Arabidopsis thaliana: one gene and its partner. The protein of the gene in region 1 interacts with the protein of each later gene in a pairwise test. Each region holds a gene or a part of one and is shown in the gene's direction. Other genes may lie near its edges. The genes, in order: LOS4 and IPK1.

Region 1 (6,497 bases):
ACCAAAATTCTTGCTGTAATCAACCTTAGAAATGTTAAAGAGGTAGATTCGGAACAAAAATAAAATACCAAAGATTGTGATCTTCTCAAACAAATCTTGGACCTATAGACCCATCAGGCCATCACACAGTGACACAGACCAGATTGGTAGTTTCTACATTCAGTCACACACACGCACACACAATCTGTCTCTTATTTGTGAGTTACATATATAGAGAGAGAAAGAGAAAGAGAGAAGAGAGAGAGATAGAGAGAGAGAGACAAACTTTGGTAGCTATTTGTAGGTATACAGTTTGAATTCAATCCAACTGGAATGAAGCTCAATTCAATTGATTAGAGAAATCCCTTGACCCAGTAGTTGACCAGCCAACAGCTCGTTTACAGCCTCTGTGGGATGAAATCCATCCCAAAACACATATCCTGTGGCATTTACACACGTTCCGAAGGATAGAGAATTGCAAAGGAACGATGTTTCTATTGTCCCTGTTCCGCAGCATGCCCTTTTTGTTTCAAAGAATCCTAGAATACATGTAGTTTAGACATTTAATAAGATGTTAATGGTATCTTGTTAGTTGCTAACTAGATTAAATATCTGAGTTCTTCTTCCTGTGAATAGCTCACTCTATCATGGTCTAAAGTTGAATGAGGATTTAGATTTTGCAGGTGTGTACCATTGTCAGTTGGGTTGGTGATGATGTCCAGGAAAGGTTGGTAGACATTAAAGGCGACGAGTCTGAGGCCTGAGTGTCTATTCATCAGTAACCGGGTTGTGTTCTCAAGTTTAGTATTGAACATGATAGCATCATTGTTCAGTCTCTCAACACAACTTTTGTTTCCTGCACCGAAAAGAGTGATAGCTGCAGGCAGGCAACCCATCGGCGGTAGCGATATCACTCCGATTCTCCTTGCTCCTAGTTCATACAGATTCTGTTACAAGTGACAGTATGATTCTTGTTCACACAAAAAAGGGTAAATAACTGATACGATTTTTTTGTGTTTCTTGTAAATTTGCACATTCATATGGTTGCCTTATTATGAATATCGAGTTCTACAAGTTCGTTACTAAACTTAGAAGTACCTGGATGAATTCTGAGAAGGATCTCAGGAGAATGTCAGCGAACTGATCAGGTGTATTTAGGATGTTGAGTAGAGGATTGATGTAATAATTCTGAAGAAAGTCGCTAGATCCCGCACTCAAAATGTGGATACCTCTAGAGAACAGTATGCGCGCGTTCCCCCTCCCGATCATTCTCGTTACTCTATTTTGATACGCCCTGTAATAGCTCAGCTGTCGTGTTAAGGAGATCGAGCCCTGCAAAAGGAAGAGTAAAACCTTATGGATCATTTCTTGGGTATGTGTGTAATGATGTTTGACTGTGTTGTCTCCTTTACAAATGGAACAGATGTGGCATCATAGTATCCTGAAGAAGCTGATGCAAAGTTGGCACCGATCAGGATATTCTCGTTGCTTGCTTCCCGGCTTAGGAATGCAGGTGGGTATGAAGAGAAACCAAGGTACTCGGCTAGACACAAGTAGGCAGATTAAAAAACCAATTAGATTAGGAAGAGAGAAAAAGTATTTGAAGGTAATACTTGATGGAGAGATAGATATATGTGGTTTTGTGAGAAAGACTTTACCTGAGAAATCTACAGCGAGTTTTCCGTTGCAGAATCTTCCGGTGGGTCTTTGGTCGATGAAGTCTCTACCGTAAGGAAGAAAGTTGGATTTGACAATGCTGAGTAAGTTATTGTTGTTGCCAACGTCAACAATGGAGTCGCCAAACATGATGAGTGCAGGAACAACAGCTCCTTTGGATTTGCAGAAGAAACAAGAAACCAAGAGAAGAACTCTAAACCCCGAAACTCTCATCTTTTGCATTCCTTTTCGTTCCTGTCTAATGCAATCAGGTCGTTAGGACAAATAGAGAAGAGAGAGAAGCAGAGAGAAAGAAATAGAGAGTAGTGGTGAGAAAATGGAGACTTAAGAAGATGATGCATGTTATACAAAATATAATCATTCTCCCCATGCTTATGTTTAAGATAAAGAAAACGCATTTGCTAGTGCAATAGAGTAGGTGGAAATTGTTTATGAGGTCAGTCTCTTTGGTCATTGATCATGGGACCATGATCAGTAATATCTTTGCATCCTCGAACATAAACTTCCGTCATATCGCGAAATTTCAATTCGGGCCACGCGTGGAGGCTTTGGTTTGAAGGGTAGCTCTATCAATAAAAATATGGGTATTGGGGAAATCATCTAATCTTGATTGATTGATTGCTCAATACTTCAATAATCTAATTTTGGTTTCTGTTGAACCGTTGGAGGCATGAATATAAAATTCTGATAGGATACAGTTTTCTTGATAAGAGATGATATGTTTGAGGAAATCAAAGTGTGAGCTCCACCAACTTTTAGTTGTTGTTCTTGTAATAATGTATTGGGTAATGTGGCATCCACCTCAAAGATTGTGGTTAAACCATCATGGTTTTTTCTTTTCCTTTCTTCTTTCTTCTATTGTGCTTAAGCCATCATGGTTTATTTCCTTTCTTGTACATAGAAAAGTCATAAGCTTTTTAAAAAAACTTATGAAGAATATTACAAGGAAAAAACAAGAGTTTGGGCCATATCACCACCATGGAAGTAAAAATCTCTACTTGGTACAAGACCCAAATTAGTAGAAAATGGCTTCTTTTGTAACAAATTTGGACTGTTGGGCCATATTGTTTTGTTTATACATAAATTAAAGCCCAAAATGATTTAGTTGGGTCGTCTAGAATAAACCGAACTATTAAAAAATCATTGGTAGAGTCGGTTATGTTATTTCAATTGTGGCTAGCATGAAATTAAGTTCAATTATTTTACATTTTTACTATTAAGCTTCATATTCTTACGTCGAACCGAATTGAAATTAGAGAAAACAGAAAGATAAACCGAATTATAAACAAAAACAACATAGACTAGAGTCGGTTTAATCACGTGTAGCTTATAAATTAACATCAGTAAATTTCCATTTTTACTAGCAGCTTGAAATTAACGTCAGTGATTTTTACAATCCTTGACTAGTAGCTTCAAAGTAAAGCAGCAACTCTTATTTATTTGGGGTTTTCACTTTTTCCCCAAAATTGTCTCCGACTTCAAACATAACACAAATCGTTCATCGTCTTCCTTCTCTCTCTCTGATTCTCTCATTCGCGAATTTCAAAGGTTCTACTTCTCTCAGAATCTCAGCTCTTTCACGAATCAATGGAGAAGTTAAGATGAATTTGGGTTTCTAATTTGATTGGTTTTTTGTTGGCTACAGCTATGGCGGATACGGTAGAGAAAGTTCCCACCGTTGTTGAGTCATCTTCATCATCCACCGTTGAAGCATCTAATAGCGCCGAGAAGACTGAGCCCACGACGGAGAAGAAAAAGTGGGGCGATGTTGAAGATGATGATGATGAAGAAGAAGCTGTATCGGAGCTTAATTCATTGAGCATTAAGGAAGAAGAGAAACCTGATTCTATTCTTGAGGAACCTGAAGATTCTAACATCAAAGCTGTATTACTTCAATTCCCTCTCTCTCTTTGATCCTAATTACAGTCTAGGGTTATTAGATTTTCCAGATTCGTTTGGTTGATTTTGAAATCTGGTGTTTTTTGAAGGTTACTTCTGGTGACACACCATATACATCAGCAAGTAGATTTGAAGACTTGAACTTGTCACCTGAATTGATGAAAGGCTTGTACGTTGAGATGAAATTCGAAAAGCCTAGCAAGATCCAAGCTATTAGTTTGCCTATGATAATGACGCCGCCACACAAGCATCTGATTGCCCAGGCTCATAACGGATCTGGAAAGACGACTTGTTTCGTTCTTGGAATGTTGAGTCGTGTTGATCCCACATTGAGAGAGCCTCAAGCTCTCTGTATTTGTCCCACTAGAGAATTAGCTAATCAGGTTTGTTTAGTTACTCTGATTTTGGTTATGATCTGAGAGTAATCTGATTGTTGACTTCTTTTAATGGTTGAATGACAGAATATGGAAGTTCTTCAGAAGATGGGGAAGTTTACTGGGATCACTGCTGAGTTGGCTGTGCCTGACTCAACGAGAGGTGCACCGGCGGCAACAAGAGGAGCTCCTGTTTCTGCTCATGTTGTGATTGGCACCCCTGGAACGCTTAAGAAATGGATGGCATTTAAGAGACTAGGTCTAAATCATTTGAAGATTCTGGTTTTTGATGAGGCTGACCATATGCTTGCTACGGTATGCTCTTTCTTCTGTTTTACTTGGTCTTGTTATTTTCTCAACTGTAATGATTTAACTTCTGTATAATGTGATTATATTTTCCCTTCATATGTTGTTGATAATTGTTAATTCATTGCTGTTGCAGGATGGGTTTAGGGATGATTCCTTGAAGATAATGAAAGACATTGGGAGAGTTAATCCCAATTTCCAGGTCTGTTTAACTAGTGTCTGATTTGGTCATGCTTCTTGAATTATAAGTAGGATGACAGTTGATATCTAGTGGCATATCTATCGTGATATCTAGGGGGCACAAGATAGTCTACTGAGCTTATAGTTATACTTGTTTCAATGTTCAGAAGCTCTTAGTAAATAGAAGCACCTCAGCTGTGTTTTTTTCTGTTGTTTAGAGCCGTCATATCTTAAGATGACATATATGTCTGTGCTAAAATGATTATGAATATCTTCACTGCAGAAAGCTGTACTAATGACTGCTTGTGTTTCACTATATTTATGGCTGTTAATCTCAATTCAAAGGAAACTCTTTTTCTTTCTTTCTCGTGCTAGATTTGATTGTGTGCTTGTGTTCTTGACCTATTTTCAACAGGTTCTTCTTTTCTCGGCAACTTTTAACGAAACTGTCAAAGATTTTGTTGCGCGGACAGTCAAAGATCCCAACCAATTGTTTGTCAAAAGAGAGGATCTGGCTTTGGACTCGGTGAAGCAGTATAAAGTTGTTTGCCCGAAGGAGCAAAACAAGATCGAAGTCATCAAGGATCAGATTATGGAGCTTGGGGATATTGGGCAAACCATTATCTTTGTGAAAACAAAAGCGTCTGCTCAAAAGGTGCACAAAGCCCTTGCGGAAATGGGATATGACGTTACCAGTGTCCATGGTAATCTGACTGAATCGGACAGGGATAAGATAGTTAAAGAGTTTAAAGAATGCCTTACTCAAGTGCTCATTGCTACCGATGTCATTGCAAGAGGTTTTGACCAACAGCGGGTAAATATTGTCCTTTGAGCCTTTTCCTTTCTTCTCGTTTTACCTCAAAGATGCTTCGTAGTTAATACCTCTTGTTGGTTATATACAATACTTGCAGGTGAATTTGGTTGTCAATTATAATCTTCCCACTAAATATGAAACTGGAGAGCCAGATTATGAGGTGTACCTTCACAGGGTTGGGAGAGCTGGCCGGTTTGGTCGCAAAGGTGAGTTTTGATTCTTCTTTTTTTCTTTCTCAAGTGTTTCCATAAGTTCTTATCAGTTTCTGAACTATGTATTTGTATTGTAGGAGCGGTTTTCAACTTGCTGCTTGATGATGGCTGGGATAAAGAGGTGATGGAGAAGATCGAGAAGTATTTTGAAGCAAATGTTAAGGAGGTATTATAAGATTTCTGAAAACTGCTATATATCTTTCAAGTGTTTGTTAAAACAGTATCCAACGATTTTAAACTTTGCTGCAGATCAAGTCGTGGAACTCAGAGGAAGAGTATAAGAGTGCATTAAAGGAAGCTGGCCTGCTGGACGAGTGAGGAAGAGAGACAGCATGTGTTCAAACCATCTTAAAAGACTATGTCGTCTGTTTTCTTGAGATTGTTTTAAGAAAGAAACTTGTATACCTCTTTGAGGTTTTCTTGTAATCTTTTTATCTGATTGCTGAGAGTTTCAGACTTTGTAGATTTTTTGTTAAGGGAAAAGGAAAACATTTTTTATGTCAATGTCAATCACTTTAGTATGAACCTAAACAGTAAACAGCAAAGCATTTTTTTTACAACAATGGGTAAGAGTCATAATACACAACCAAAGTCTCGAATTCAATGTGTAAAGCTTTTTAATCTCAAATGTTTGACGTTTTAGCGGCAAGATGGATCAATGCTCGTCGATGATAGGTAGTACGAAGCTTCTTGTATTTCTGCACAAATGCTGCTGTATCAATCTCCTTCTCTAGGAACTTTTCTTGCAGGGCTTCGGATTCTTCATCCACCTGATTCATAGCCTCTGCAAAACAAGTAAAAGGTGTTTAGAACAGTAGAGAAAATGAGACGAGGGGAGAATCCATTGCAATGGTAAATTGTTACCTTGAAGTTTATGAAGAAGAGAACCAGGGGAGTAGAATTTGAGGATCTCTTCTTTTTGCCTCTCAAGCTCATTAAGCTTTTCTTGCGCAGTTGCGAGCTCAGTTGTACGGATAATTCTGCACTGTAAAATAAGTAAAGACTGGTAAATCAGAGATATCGAAAAGGTATAACATGGTAAAACTGAACAAGAAA
Region 2 (6,520 bases), on another chromosome or scaffold:
GGTACGTTATATTCGGGGTATTTTGGCCTGAGAAATTTGGAGATAGTAAGAATGGTTGCATCATGAGAGGAACAAATATAACGTCCCTTGGCGGCTGCTTGTTCGTATAAGAAGATATGAGCGTTGCATAAGTCGTCCAAATGCACATACTGTCCTTGTCTTATGATCGAGTAATGCGCCTCGTTCCCTAAAACATTATAATATATTCAACGTTTTAGATTTAACATTTTCACATTTCCAACAAAAGAAGAAGCACACACACGTACGAGTGATAGGAGAGAGCGCGGTGATAAGGCTAGGCGGCATAGACGTTGTGATGAATGGACCGACCACCAATGTTGGAATAATACTAATGAAATCTAATCCTTTCTCTTCGGCGAAATCCCACGCTGCTTTCTCCGCTAACGTTTTTGACACGAAATACATCTGCCACACAAATATATATGAACTTTAAATTACTTCAAAAAACCGTAACTTGAGTTTAATTAATATGTATATTCTTACCCATCCTGTCATCTTTTTGGACATGATAAACTCAAGATCACTCCAATCATTTTCATCATAGACATTCTTCTGATGTTCTTCTACATTAACGGTTCCGGCAGATGAAGTAAATACGAATCTTCGTACGGTCTTTGCCTTAACACATGCTTTCATTATCCCCAACATTCCATTCACTGTCGGCTTTATCACTTCGTTCTGATTCGCAAATACAAAAGTCAAGTTAAGCTAGGTTGACGCAAAAACCAAAAGAAGTTTCCTAATATAGAGAAACTCACCTCAGGATCTTTTGATTCAAAATCCATGGGTGTTGCCACGTGGAAAACACCGTCACATCCGTTTATGGCATCATCGTAGCTTCCTTCCTCAGATAAATCAGCCTTCCATAAAGTGAGTAGCGTCTTGGCGTTTGGCAAATCAAGAAGATGTTGTACTTTCTTCAAATTACCTTGACAATCCAAAAAAACCCGTAAATAAACGTTATATTAATATACATAATCTTAGGAGAAATGAGTTTGTAAGAACATATAGATATGTACCGGGATCTCGAACGGTGGCACGAACAAAGTAACCACGTTCTAGTAATCGCATCACTAGCCATGAACCGATGAAACCCGAAGCGCCGGTTACACACACGGTCTCTTTCTGACTAACCATTTTTGTGGTTATATGATAGATTGTGCTTTGGGAAAGATTCAACTATGTATGTTCGGTACAAATCTTTGTGATGTGAAGACATTATAAATAAGACACTAGAGATTATGAATCGTTATTGAAGAAAACAGATAATAAGAACGAGAAGCTGCCGGTCACGTGAGTACCAACCGGAGAAGCACGTGGGGAACGTTGGTTGACGAAGGACTAAAGAGATGTGTGGTACGTAACAATCTGGTAAGTTGATTTTATTATTTCCTTAGGTGTGTATTTTGTTGTTGTACCGGTGGGTGAAATACGTTGACTTCGATTTGTTTGGTGAGACGTGTGGGTGACTTCAGTTCAGTTTGTTTTTGTTTTTGTTCCCCACCCACTTTTACGAAATAAATCAAAATTTGTCTAAACAAATTAACATTTTGATAGAATATATACAGAAATACATTTTACTTAAGTAATATTTTAATTTTAATTGAAATCTAAAAATCAGACACCTAAAATAATTATAAATCTTGGAAAAGCTTAAATGAAAAATATGTTTATATTTTAGATTTATGAATTAGGAGTTTCTTATTACAAAATTGTAAAATTATAAAACATATTAATTTATAAATATGACTTCTAGATTTATTGCAATCTAAATATTATAAGCATTTACATAAAATACATAAACTAAAACTTTAAAAGATGTAATTATCCAATTGTGTCCCATGTCAGCTTTTTCATTATTATTTCACGAATTATTATAAAAATAATTGATATGTTAAAATATTGTTTTCAAAAATTTATTTATTTCCAGTTTTCGCAAAGAAAATAAAATAAAATTAGAAGGACAGTGAATCACTTAATCTCATAAAGTAAGAAATAACACGTGGTGGTTACCTCGTCCACGTGGATTCTAAAACACAGAATCAATATAACTCTTGTATTTTCAATTTGTTGTATCGTAAGACGTCAGAGAAGAGGTCAGCTTAATTTTGACTCTCCTCCAAACAGAGAGACAAAGTAAGCCAAGCGTCTTTGGTGTAGTCCACCACCACGTTTGAGCTCGACGCAGAGAGAGAAGAATACTTCAAAGCTCTCCTTCTTCTTCTTCAACCACTAGAAATCTTCGTTCTCTATTCAATTGCATTGCGTTAGCAAAATTCTGGTGAATTGATTTGATCAGATCTTCGCTTGATTTCGATTTTAAAAATCGAAGAATTTTGTATCGCATGGAGATGATTTTGGAGGAGAAAGATGCATCAGATTGGATTTACAGAGGCGAAGGTGGTGCCAATCTCGTTCTTGCTTACGCTGGATCTTCTCCACTTTTTGTTAGTCTCTTCTTCTTCGATCTCTCTTCCTTTTGAATCCTGTAAAAGTTAAAGCAAGTCTGATGAACTTTGAAAAAAAGTAGTTCAGATTCTCGCCGTCATTGACTTTTTAGCTTTATAAAAGTTTGGTTTAGATTCTCTAGTTAGAAACTTGGATATAGATTCTTTTTTAGTGGCTCTCTTCTTCTATGAAGAATCAGAATCAGAATCAGTGTTGGTATAATTCTTATCTTCTCAGATTGATTAGTGTCTAAAGAGTTAACACAATGTTCAACAGTAAAATGTTTTGTACAGAATTGGATTTGGTTTGTTTAAGTTTGACCAATCTTTTACATTATCTCTGAACTTTGATTAGGTTGGGAAAGTGATTCGTATACAGAAGGCTCGGAGGAATGATAAAGCAATCAAGAATGCGAATGGTGTTGTTTCGGTTTTAACAAGCGATGAGCAACATCTATGGAGAGAAAACAATGAGCTGATTTCATCACCAAACAAGGAAGTTCTTGAACAAAGATATGTTAAGAATGTGATCATCCCACTCTTGGGTCCTAAACATGTTGATGCTGGAGTAAGTAATATTATCAAATGGTCTTTGTTGGTTTTATTTAGATACTTATGGCTTCTTGGTAAGCTGATGATTAGAGTATTGTAGGTACGTGTTTCTGTGTCCAAGGAGTTTCTTGAGTGTGTTGATAAGAAAGTAACTAAGCAGCGTCCGCTATGGCGTGTTAATGCAGCAAATGTTGATACGAGTCATGATTCTGCCCTTATATTGAATGATCATTCACTTTTTTCTCAAGGTAACCTATTATTATAAGAAATCGGACTTTTTTCATGATCATAAAAATTAGTCGTAACTATATGGTGTTATCTGTGTCAGGTATTTCTAGCGGTGGTGATTGCATTAGTGTTGAAATAAAGGTTTGATAAATCCTCTGGGTTGTTTTAGTTTTCTCTTTATCATGCTTGACCTAAACTCACTGTCCTTAATTCCATGAAGTAGCCCAAATGCGGATTTCTTCCAACCTCAAGGTTCATAGGTAAAGAAAACATGCTCAAAACAAGCGTAAGCCGTTTCAAAATGCATCAACTCTTAAAGTTGGAATATAACGAGGTAAAAGCAAGTCATTGTTAGTATAAAATCTTAATGGTCTATAGATTGTGATTTGCTGAAATGTCTAATAAGTATGTCACCATTCTACAGATATCTGAAGAAAGCGAGTACGATCCTCTTGATCTCTTCTCTGGATCAAAAGAGAGTGTTTTGGAAGCTATAAAAGCTTTATATTCCACTCCTCAAAACAATTTCCGCGTATTCTTGAATGGTTCTCTCATATTAGGGGGTTCAGGTGAAAGCACCGGGAGAACCAGCCCCGAAATCGGGTATGCCTTTGAGGATGCTCTCAAAGGCTTCATTCAATCAGAAGACGGTCATAGGACAGAGTGCTTTCTACAACTAGTATCTGACGCTGTCTATGGCTCAGGAGTTCTTGATAGACTTCTTGAAATTCAGAAGCTAGACAAATTAGACATTGAAGGAGCGATTCATTCGTATTACGATTTAATCAACCAGCCTTGTCCTATATGTAAAGAAGGTAAGCCACTGGAGGCGGAATTGTCTCTACATGCTTTACCTTTAGATGAAAGCTTGAAGATTGTGAAGGAGTATTTGATAGCTGCAACTGCCAAAGACTGTAGTATTATGATCAGTTTTCAATCAAGGAATGCTTGGGATTCAGAACCCTCGGGTGATTACGTCTCTCTAAAACCGACCAATCAAACGTTTGATTACAAGGTATGATCCATTTTAACACATTCTTGTCTTATATGGTGAAAGAACTATTAATAATATTTGCTGAGATCATTGGTACAATTCTCTAAAAATAAAATGTGGGATCCGCGAATCATTATAAGAACAGAAATTTCCTTAGAAAACGTTGAGTTCTCAGGAACCATATAATCGGTTTCTTCATTTTGTTATATTTGTTTGATATTTGATTTATGTAACTGTAGGTACATTTCATTGATCTAAGCCTGAAACCACTTAAGAGAATGGAGTCATACTACAAATTGGATAAGAAGATAATTAGCTTTTACAATCGGAAGCAGAAAGCCGAAAACACGGCAGAACAAATCGGCAACTCAAAACCTTCCCACAGCTAAGTCATGTATCGTCTCAATACCACTAGCTCTCTTTTTTTTGGTTACTGTTGTTGTAGAACATAATAAAGAAAGCCCTAAAAGATGAATGTTCATTTCTTAAACTTAAAATTTGTTGGAACTATATCTCCTTCACTCTATATCTCTTTCTCTCCCTGGTCTTCTCTCGGCATGGAGCCGTTGCCTGGAGATATTTTACTGTTCCAGAATGCTCTCTGTCAAGTTTTGCCAGAATTGCTTGTACATACAAAGATGGTGGAGCTTAGCCACTGTTGTTGCTCCTTCTATGGAAAATTTTGTCAGCGGTTTTCCGATATACTGTCTCCCCACTCTCTCACAAAAGATAGTATCTTTGGGGTGGCAGACCCATGGACCGTCCCTCCTCTCCCACTGAATCACAACCATGAGATCTCTTTGGCGGCATACTACAACACAACAAAAAGGATAAGTCATATAATCCCATCTACTTAAGTTTTAGCAAGTGATTGAACCAATTCCTAACATCTTTTGCGACACATTTACTTAATAAAACATTGAAAATGGTTTCCCGTAGCATCATGAACCATGCTCTGATACCACACTTGTAAATAATAACTTTTTGAGTTATCGAGAACAAAATCCATTAAACATGAAAAGTGGACACTAACAATAATAAAACTGACTAGGGCTTGGCATTCGAATACACGCTCCGATACGCTTCGGGTTTTTTGGGTTTAGGCTCATAGCACCCATTCGGGTATTTATAATATTTGGGTTAATATTTGGGTTGGGTTCGGTTTCTTCATTCAATCCACCCAAAAAAATCGTACAACATTTATCTCTTTCCCCGAACAATACAAAGTGTTTAAACCTTATAAGAAGACATTGCAAGGGACAATCATAAAGAACAATAACCAAGGGATCATTACCACATTAACTTAGAAAAACTGAACCCATCATTTGCCTCACGAACTAGTTTCTAAACAAAAATTCTACAAAATACAGTAAACACCTTACATCATCTAAGGAGTTCATGCCACTCATTTTTCAAGTTCAAAAAAAGAACACCAAATGAATATCCATTACAAGATTTTACCGATTTTTATGAAGTAATCAGCCCAAACGATACCCTTAAACTCCCTCATCACGTTCTCGGTTCCATTGCTCAATTCTCGCCCTCCTTTCCTCGCTTCCTTCTCTCACATTTCGTGGGCTTCTGCTCCGTTTCGGGCTTCCATGTCTCCTCCTTCCACCACCATCCCGATCATGCCTCTCTGATCTATCACTGCTCCTTTTCCCATTTCCATGCCGGTCACGGTCCCTAACGTCCCCTCTCTCTCGCTCTCGCGAATGCTCTCTCTTACGTCGAGGGCTTATACTCCTGCTTCGACTTCTGCTTCCCCGACGGTATGAACGACGATACCTCCCAAACAATTTCCTCCTAAGCTCCCTCGAAATCTGCTTCACATGCATGAAATTACAGTACCCACCACGGTTACAGCTGTTTTCTTCATACTGCCTACAAGTAGCTTCCCTAAAATCCGTCACAGGAGAGAAATCAGCAATGATAGGACGACCGGAATAAAATCTCCCCTGCAAAGCCTGCAACGCAGCAGCTGCGTGATCCTCCTCCTTAAACAGAACATACACATTCCCAATCATATGATCAGCAAGATTGTCACAAACATTGAGACTCTCCACTTCACCAAACTTGTTGAGTTCTTCGAAAATATCTTCGTAGAAATCCTCAAAGTGGTCTTGGATCTTACTCGGGTCTAACGGCTGTCCCTGAGGATCCACACCTGGAGTTATCATGTCAGGTCTCTGGTACATGTTCGAGAGGAGAAGCGTCGGCGAGATGGTGGGACGGTTATGAAGCCGTGAGCACCGGTCACCGTGACGACAAGCACCAA

The links.
Region 2: the proteins of LOS4 (region 1) and IPK1 interact in a protein complementation assay, tested with the Arabidopsis thaliana proteins (one study listed by BioGRID).

Annotation. Positions count from the first base shown.
Region 1 is NC_003074.8:19,684,665-19,691,161, forward strand, and holds LOS4 (P-loop containing nucleoside triphosphate hydrolases superfamily protein), read left to right. Parts: upstream 1-3,075; 5' UTR 3,076-3,204; intron 3,205-3,301; 5' UTR 3,302-3,303; coding exon 3,304-3,540; intron 3,541-3,644; coding exon 3,645-3,938; intron 3,939-4,016; coding exon 4,017-4,244; intron 4,245-4,371; coding exon 4,372-4,437; intron 4,438-4,830; coding exon 4,831-5,229; intron 5,230-5,326; coding exon 5,327-5,435; intron 5,436-5,518; coding exon 5,519-5,607; intron 5,608-5,690; coding exon 5,691-5,759; 3' UTR 5,760-5,997; downstream 5,998-6,497. Other genes in the region: AT3G53100 (GDSL-like Lipase/Acylhydrolase superfamily protein), read right to left, coding at 325-518, 671-926, 1,078-1,311, 1,392-1,522, 1,638-1,878; VPS37-1 (Modifier of rudimentary (Mod(r)) protein), read right to left, coding at 6,065-6,225, 6,306-6,426. UniProt on the Arabidopsis thaliana protein: ATP-dependent RNA helicase essential for mRNA export from the nucleus. Plays an important role in the positive regulation of CBF/DREB transcription factors.
Region 2 is NC_003076.8:17,164,707-17,171,226, forward strand, and holds IPK1 (inositol-pentakisphosphate 2-kinase 1), read left to right. Parts: upstream 1-1,995; 5' UTR 1,996-2,366; coding exon 2,367-2,468; intron 2,469-2,823; coding exon 2,824-3,036; intron 3,037-3,120; coding exon 3,121-3,268; intron 3,269-3,348; coding exon 3,349-3,389; intron 3,390-3,471; coding exon 3,472-3,582; intron 3,583-3,672; coding exon 3,673-4,263; intron 4,264-4,481; coding exon 4,482-4,631; 3' UTR 4,632-4,753; downstream 4,754-6,520. Other genes in the region: DFR (dihydroflavonol 4-reductase), read right to left, coding at 1-187, 267-426, 505-699, 780-949, 1,041-1,158; U2AF35B (Zinc finger C-x8-C-x5-C-x3-H type family protein), read right to left, coding at 5,739-6,520. UniProt on the Arabidopsis thaliana protein: Phosphorylates Ins(1,3,4,5,6)P5 at position 2 to form Ins(1,2,3,4,5,6)P6 (InsP6 or phytate). Phytate is a regulator of intracellular signaling, a highly abundant animal antinutrient, and a phosphate store in plant seeds.